Nothobranchius furzeri: one gene and its partner. The protein of the gene in region 1 binds, or shares a complex with, the protein of each later gene. Links are inferred from orthologs where the notes say so. Each region holds a gene or a part of one and is shown in the gene's direction. Other genes may lie near its edges. The genes, in order: ksr1a and map2k1.

Evidence for each region.
Region 2: the proteins of ksr1a (region 1) and map2k1 are in contact, whole or in part, in a crystal structure (PDB 9AXH), measured with the Homo sapiens proteins. The link is inferred for Nothobranchius furzeri from reciprocal best matches to the Homo sapiens genes KSR1 and MAP2K1. Residues at the interface, in XP_011523731.1 of Homo sapiens: Asn767, Gln768, Leu769, Lys770, Leu771, Ser772, His773, Leu776, Val784, Arg785, Met787, Thr788, Pro789, Asn823, Gln824, Ala825, Ala826, Glu827, Ala828, Ser829, Ile830, Trp831, Gln832, Gly834, Ser835; in NP_002746.1 of Homo sapiens: Asp217, Ala220, Asn221, Ser222, Phe223, Val224, Gly225, Thr226, Arg227, Ser228, Met230, Arg234, Leu235, Gln236, Gly237, Met308, Ala309, Ile310, Phe311, Leu314, Asp315, Val318, Asn319.

The regions. Positions count from the first base shown.
Region 1 is NC_091750.1:49,826,559-49,830,812, reverse strand, and holds the start of ksr1a (kinase suppressor of Ras 1), read left to right. Parts: upstream 1-1,293; 5' UTR 1,294-1,505; coding exon 1,506-1,715; intron 1,716-4,254.
Region 2 is NC_091744.1:66,095,988-66,100,310, reverse strand, and holds the start of map2k1 (dual specificity mitogen-activated protein kinase kinase 1), read left to right. Parts: upstream 1-1,503; 5' UTR 1,504-1,654; coding exon 1,655-1,737; intron 1,738-4,323. UniProt on the Homo sapiens protein: Dual specificity protein kinase which acts as an essential component of the MAP kinase signal transduction pathway.

The DNA.
Region 1 (4,254 bases):
GTATAGATGTATAATTTATTTCCCAGCAGAGCTTCTGTTACATCGGTGGTGCTCCGCTCAGGGTAATGACAGTGCACTGTGCCTCACACGAGGAGGTGAAAGGTAGTGATTATTCACTGTGGCATTGCTAGCCTCCTCCCTCGGGCCACTTTTTGCTAAAACCAGTGCAGGAGAAACTGGATTACTCCTCAACTCGGATTCATTTACGGTATTCTGACAGATCTTTTGCTGTTGTGACGCCCAGACCTAGAACCCCCTGAGCATGAGATCAGTGGACTCAGCGGTCTCCTTTAAAAAGCAGCTGAAAACTCATCTGTTCAGGCTGGCTTTGGTGGGACCTCCTGCTCATTCTTCCTCACTAGCTTTTTCTTCATGCTGCTGTTCTGTTTTGCTCGAGATCCCGTGATTACCTGTTTTGCATTCATTCTTTTCTTTCTTTACATTTTTAATCTAAAATGTTCACCTTCCCCTTTTTTATTAAAATATTTTCAAATATTTTTTGTATTTTTTGTTTTTGTGAAGCGCCTTGTGGTTTTAAAATTGCTTCTTCTTTCTACTACTAAATTATGTTATTTAGTTGCATTTTTCTTTATTTGTGCATAATAAATACTCACCTTTTCCAGGAAACGCACTGAACAAAACATAAAAAGCTTTGTGCTGTTAAAACATTGCCGAAAGTGAGTCTGCATGTATATTTTTAACACCAGACGTCATCAGGTAAATGCCAACACACCTTTGATTTTACTGGCCTAATGAGTCACAATGGCTTGGGACAGGCTCTACTGAACCAAAACAGACTTTTGCAAACAAAATAAATAAATACATAAATAAATCACCCCCAGTTTAAAAATAATAAAAACACAAACAAAAACATTCTGTAGAACACTTTGTGTTTATTCCTCGGGCTATGAAACATCCAACTTTTCTTTTTAATATTTAAAAGTTTTCTCCATTTTGACCTAAATTTGAATTTTTCCACCTTCCTTTTTTCTGCAGCAGCTCCAATAATGCCTCAACCGGCCCCTAGCAGGTCATAAAAATGGAACGCAGCCATCATCACTAATGTTTTTGCCTCTATAGAAAAATAACCTGCACAGTTCGGTTGTTGAGTTGATGGGTGGGTGGAGGACGGGAGGTGTAGTGCGAAGAGCCCCCTTTTTGTGGCCAGTGGGACTTTATTTCCCAGAATGCACCGCGCAACATGACGTTCCCAACAGCTGACAGACGGCGAAGCCTCTGCCTGAGCTGTCGGTGGACGGGAAATACACAACCCGACTCTTAACGGACACCGGAGACCTTTTAGCTGCCTGCTAACACAGTATTTCTAGAAACTCTTTCAGTTTGCCCTCGCCAGTAGTTTTTGGTTTTGTTTTAAAAGGTCGCGCGCCTGGGACTGTCAGCTAACTTCTTCCGCAATTAATAGGTCGCTGCGTCGATGGACTTATGTTTTATTTGAGCTCAGCAGTTTGACTCCAGCCCTTCCAGCCGAGCCCAAATGCTGAGGAATGGATAGCGTGTCTGCTAAAGGTGGGAAGATGGTCGAGAGTGATGAGCAGCCGGAGCGGAGGGACGGCGGCGGCGGAGCGATGGCCGCGCTCCAGCAATGCGAACTCATCCAGAATATGATTGATATCTCCATCTCCAGTTTACAGGGGCTACGGACCAAATGCGCCGCATCCAACGACCTCACACAGCAAGAAATACGCACTTTAGAGGTAACGAGCGCTCCGGGGCTGTCTGGTTGGTTAAAATGCGGAGTCACGGAGCCCCATGTCCGCCTGAATTTGAGCAGAATTACGGGGCTGCTGCAAGCGAGGCTCCCGGTGCAGAGCCCGGTGCGCCGCTGACGCTCTGCGATGCATTCACGACCCAAAATGATCCAATTAGCTTTATGTCAGGGGTTCTGATCAAATACGGATACATTTGTTAAATCATGATATTTGCGTGACCTTCTGCGTTATTTGTCTGGAGCAGCATCCCCCCTCTCCCCCCCGTGCCTGGCCTAATGGCACACATTCAATAATCTGATCTGTTACTGTATTCAGCAGCGTCGGGCTGGATTTGTAAATCCAGGCCCTAGAATATAAAAACCACACACGCTCCATGTGATTTGCAGGCATGGTCGATGTTCTCATGCATGCGGATGCACAGTCACTGTCATTTCACAGGAAGAATCCACGTTTTCACCCCCAGAAACCATCCATTTCCAGGATATTCTCCAACCACGTCACGCCTGGTGACTCTGCACATTGGTTCCACTTTAAAAATGTTTTAGACCTGGTCAACCTCAGATTCTTTTTGCCTTCATAGAATCAAATTGAAAACACTTTTATTTTCGTTGAATGTTAATGATTTTAATTATAATGACTTTTACAGATATTTATAGTATATTGGCTAGTTAATATCAATTCTACATGATTCCACTTAGGAGATTTTTGCACCGAAATGCCTCTAAAACAGATTGATGAAGTGTATAAATGACCCATGTTAAAACTGTTTTATATAAGAGATCTAAGAAAATGTTGATGCATTGTGATACTGTGAAGTTTCATAGGGATGCGCGATATATCTGCATCAATATTGGTATTGGCCGATGTTGGTCATTTAAAAAAATATCTGTATCAGTCTGATATGTGAAACTGGGCCGATATCAACGAATGATTCTTTTTCCATCTTCATTCCGTCTGTGTGTCTGAGGGTGAGAGAAATAAGGCAAGGCATTCAAAAATTCAGCTTGCACAATTTTCAGTTTATGCAAAATCTGCTGATTTCAGAAGCATAAATGTCAGCGTGTCATATATATATATATATGTATGATGTATGCTGATATATATATATATATGTATATATATATATATATATATATATATATATATATATATATATATCAGCCCAAAATTTCATATCGGTGCTTTCCTGTTATTTTTATATATATATCAATCACTGAAAGCAGCATATCGATATTTTTTATTAGAATTTACACGCAAACATGTACTGTATTTCTTTATTTGGTGCAATTCTAACTCTGACTGCTAGGTGGCAGCAGTTTTTCCTGCCTTCATCCTAGGGCGGGGCAATATGGCCTAAAGTAAATATCACGATACATTGAGGATTTCACCTTGATTACGATTAATGGACGATAACTACATGTATGCGCAGAAACAAAAGTTGTCCGGGTGTCACATGCATTACGTGACTCAAGGTGGTGCAGCGACGTTGCCAACCTACACACATCTTTTCATTGTTTTACTATCAATTTTATTGACATGGGAAACATTTTCTTGATAAGAGTTAGACATTTTGATTAGGGCTGCCACAAACGACTATTTTATTAGTCGAGTAATTGCCAGTTTTGTTGCTGATTAGTCGACTAATCGTGTGTCATGCATTCTGTCACACGCCCACAGATACACACCTTTTCGATGGTCGTCTCATATTTCCTTTCTGTCATTGTGATGAAATGTACTCGGCCTGGTTAATTATTTTGTATAGTATTCTGGGTTGAACTTCTTGATCATATCTTTAAAACCTTGATCTCCGACCATGAACGGGGTCTCGTGTCTATTACCAGCATGTTTAAAATGGCCTTGGTCAGGACGTTGGCTTGTTGCAGTGTGCACGTGTTTGGCCTTGTAAGAAACTTGTCCGTTGTAGAAGAAGAGCACTTAGCACTGTAACGTAGCGGTTAGCGTTTGTAACGTTAAAGCAAATACGTGACATAGATACGTGTTCTAAACATATAATCGCCATCACTACTATTGTTGCTACACCTATGATGCTAGCAGCTAACAAGAGGTAAACTTAGAGGCGACTCTTTGTTCTCCGCCGTCACGTGCTTCCTTTTAAGATGCTCGTGCATCGTCGATGTGCTCCTGTGAAACAAGAGTTTTACCTTACAGAGTTTGCACTCTACTTCTCAGTTGTTTTCATAAAATGCTCACAAACCATTGAGCTCCGTTGCCGACTCGCCATGATGCGAGTAAGTGATTCTGATTTGAATGCTGAGCTGCAGTGGCACTACTGCGCATGTGCCTCGACTCACGTAAGCAGCGGCTGACACGGGTGGCGGCTAGCGCACATGTGCGTTGAGCAGAGAGGCAGGAAGCAAATGCCGAACGTGCCGCAGCAGGTGAGATTTAAAAAATGCTCATACAATAAACAACGCGTCGACTATTAAATTAATCGTCGTCATGACGCGTCGACTAATCGTGGCAGCCTTAATTTTGATAACGATACATTTTCGATTTAATACCC
Region 2 (4,323 bases), on another chromosome or scaffold:
CAGAGCAGCTCAGTGTTGCTGCAGAACTTAATTTAAATGTACATTTATGTTCCTAAATAGCATCACCATAAAAAATGCTCTAAAGAATTATTTGACAAAAATGTATTTTTATTTACCAGTTTTGAGTATTTGATACTTGGTCAGTTCAATGATTTGTTTGATTAACTAGTTATATGTCTGGCACTTTTAAACTGTATTCAACTGATCTTATTGTAGACACATTTTAGCATGCAAATAAAGTGGAAAATGTTTAGATATCGGCCATGAAAATCAACCCAAAAAATTGGCAGCACATATGGGCCATCGGCTGATCGTGACCTCAACGTATCGGCATCGGTTTTGGCAATCAAAAAAACAATACTGGTTGGCCTTTAGTCCCGACCCAAGGCAACAATGAACGTGTACAGCACAGTCATATGGTGCCCTCCATGAATTATGGAATGATTAAATCGATATGGTTTGAGATTTAAATGGCTATGATAAACTGTATTTAGCCATTTGTTGGTTTAGCTTTGATGGCATTGTCATTTTCATAGTTTCAAATCTTTTCTTGCTCTTTAACATTTGGAGTCTTTCTCTATGATTAAAACTGTGACGATTATATACAGAATGTTGAAAGATCAATAAACAAACAGTCAACTGAACCAGATGTGGTGGTGTGTGGTGAAATACCTACAACAGGAATGGAATACAGAAAGAACACAACTCTGGGTTCACCAATGCTCTCTTAAGCAATATTTTTCATCCTTTCATGTGTCAAATATAAAAACCTCTGTCAGCATGTTTTTTAACATGAATGGTGCGTTTAAAGCTTCTTTTGTTTTTACTTTGAAATAAAAGTAGGACAACCAAATGAATGACTTGTTTTCACCACTTATATTCTGGAGAGGTGACACTGTGCTTATAACAAAACTATCATTCATTCATAAAATCTTTAAGCCACTGCTGCATTGTGGTGCTATTTTGTATGCAGACAAAAGAAGTCCAATGTCCCAAAAACTTGAGTGTTTCATTTGTTTGTCTGATTTGAGAAGCAATAATTATCCATCTTTGTTTGGTTTCCTGCTGTTTCTCCTGCGCTGGTAAAAATAAAAATAGGTGCACACCAGCGCATGATGCTGGTCCAATATCATTTATAGAAAGAAGGCCCAGAGTTCTTCCTGGCTGACCTGACTTCTAATGATAAAACAAACAAAAATGAAATAATTGTTACCACTAAACTTTGCAAGGCATCCAAAAATATAAAGAAAGCAAATAACTCATTTTAAAAATCTGAATAACAATTAAAGGATAAATAGCTCTACGGGGCTCTTTACACTGGATTTACTGACAGTATGTGGAGCTGACTCTACAAGGCGGAGGTTTATCAGAAATGAATGTCCAGGTCTGTCCTCTTGGACGTTCTCATCTCCGTGGTGAACTCAGCTACCACCAGCAGAGGGCGCCCTGCACCACGTCTATCCACGCTGTCCGGAAGACCTGTGTAATTTTTTTTTTTTTTACCTGCGTAAATATTGTCGTGCTGTTTCTACTCAGTCACGTCCATCCGCTCAGCACATCAGCAGCTTCAGTTCATGACAGCTCTGGTTCTTCTAGCCACGGATTGTGACTCCACAGCTCCTTCTCTCTACTGCTGCCTCTCCTGCTCAACAACATGCAGAAAAGGAGGAAACCAGAACCGATCCAGCTGAACCCGATTCCTGATGGGAACGCTGTCAACGGAACCGGAGCCTCTGAGTGAGTGATGCTTAGGTTCTCATCCAAAATCTGCATCATCTGCGTTAGATTCAGGAGAACGGATGGGTGTGTGTCTGTGCGTCAGTTATGAGACTGCACCAGGTGTGTGTGTGTGTGTGTGGTGTGTGTGTGTGTGTGTGTGTGTGTGTGTGTGTGTGTGTGTGTGTGTGTGTGTGTGTGTGTGTGTGTGTGTGTGTGTGTGTGTGTGTGTGTGTGTGTGGACCGATTATAAACATTGCTGATTATAGGGAGCCGTCACTTCCACACCATGGGTCCCCGGAGGAACGAAAAAATGAATGCAAATCAATGGGGCTTAAAACGCTATTTTTTAATTCCGCTTGTTTTTAGCCATGGCTTTCACATATGATGTCCGTGAATTTTAAAGACGCGTTTTGATACCAAGGACGTGTTTATTTTCGAACAGAGGGAAACGATATTTTAGTTTTTGTGTGAAAAGAAGTCCAGGACTACAAATGCGATTCATGAAAGTGACGTCATCGAACCAGACACTGACAAAACTGAAGGAACATGGCTGTAAATTCATCAAACTTCCCACAGGAAGAAAGAACCATCATAAATCTGGTCATGTAGTTAGTAGCAGCTATTTTGGGAGAGGAGATAATGTGGTGACGTCACATATGCGACGTACCGATTTCTAGTTTGTAGTCATGCATTTACAAGCTAATAAATCTCTAAGTACGTGACTGGCATGGTCAAAACACCCACCATTAGTTTTCATTTAAATTGCAGTACAACATATGTGTGATCCAGGGTGTAAGACAAAGCGGATTAGAAAATAGCGTTTTTAGCCCCGTTGACTTGCATTCATTTTTTCGTTCTTCCGGGGACCCATGATGCGGAAGTGACTTAAGCTCCCTATAGATACATCCTTAGATAAATAGTAATATTATATTTACCTAAATGAAGAAATTATTGATTTTTCTAACTAAACTTTGGTGATTTTTGCTCCATCTGTTGAATAGTCTGATTATATATATATATATATATATATAGATAGATAGATAGATAGATAGATAGATAGATAGATAGATAGATAGATAGATAGATAGATAGATAGATAGATAGATAGATAGAGATTATTATTGTCACTAATAATATATTTATTATTTGTTCTTAATATTAGATTCAAATCAATTTTTAACATTGCTACACATGTTTTTAAAAAACTCAATATTTGCTTAACTTTATCAGCAATCTTAAGTTAATACATAATAAAGGTTGAATTTTCAGATATCTGCAGGTGATAATCCAGAATTCTTAATTCCTTAATTTAACTGAAAATGTACAGATTCAGTTGTTTCAGAACCTGCAGTTAATCTGACATTTCCAGATATTATCAATAATTTATTAAATGTTTGTTTTTGTCATAACTTCATTTTAACCCTTTGATGCATAATGGTCACTACAGTGGACAGGTACTCAAAATTGTTATTTATTTGTTTTTGCTATTAAGCACAACTGTTGAAGACTTTATTGCATTTGAGCCCCTCCGTTTGGACTTCAGTAAGCCAAGCCAACATATTTCATGCTCAGAATGCATGCTGCCCACTGAAGTGGACATGTAATAAATTATTTGTAAATTATAAAATTTTACAAAAAATATTTGTTGAAATTTGTTTCATTCACACCTAAAGACGAATGAAAAAAATTGTTTAAAAAATCATGGTTGAAGATTTCATAATTCATGCATCAAAGGGTTAATTTTGTTGCGTGATTGGATCAAAGTGCAATAAACCTCCTTTATAAGTAGCTTCATGCTCACTGTGCAGCAAAGCAGAATGCTAAATAATCATTTGTTCATTAATTGGTGCAGCAGCTTTCTTCCACCACTTTCTAGGGGGCTAAAACAATGTAACAGAGATATAAACTTGTTGTGACATTGTGCTAAAGTCTAGTTTTGTTCTGTGGAGACAAGCACAGTCATTCTTACTGGATCAGCTGAGAGGAGAATTGCATAACATCAGCCAAAGTGAGAACTGCTTCTGTAAAGTGTTGTTGAGGCACAATATTTCATTGTTCCATCATTAGATCACACATGTGGAGGCCATCTGTGGACTCTGCTGTGAATATTTAAAAATGCAATAAGCTAAAATCAAACTGCATTAGATAGAAATAAAAACGTGACAGTTCTGAGAGGTATAATTCAGAATAGATGCAAATCAGACATCTGTTTGACGATTTCAGCAAGGCTGGATTTAAATAAAACCAATCTAGTTAACTAACTATTAAATCTATTGTGCAACAGAAACTGATGATGGTGACATAATATTTGTTGAGGCGTTCACATTCCTCCTGCTGCTCTAGGGCAGGCTGCAATGGGACAAGGGGCAGACGAGGCAACAATGATGATTCAGAGATTTGGAATCTTTTCTCTGTTTAAACTCCACTGTTGTGCCCTGTGATAAATCTGTTGACAAAAGTTTGATAAACTGGTTCTTTATCCTACAAAAGAGCAGTCTTAGCCTTCTAAAGCTTTGAGGCATAGTTTTTTTTATTTTGAAAAGTGTTTCTTGTAAAAAACTGATACATTTTACTACTCAAATGTAGCAAGTGCCTTGAATGAGC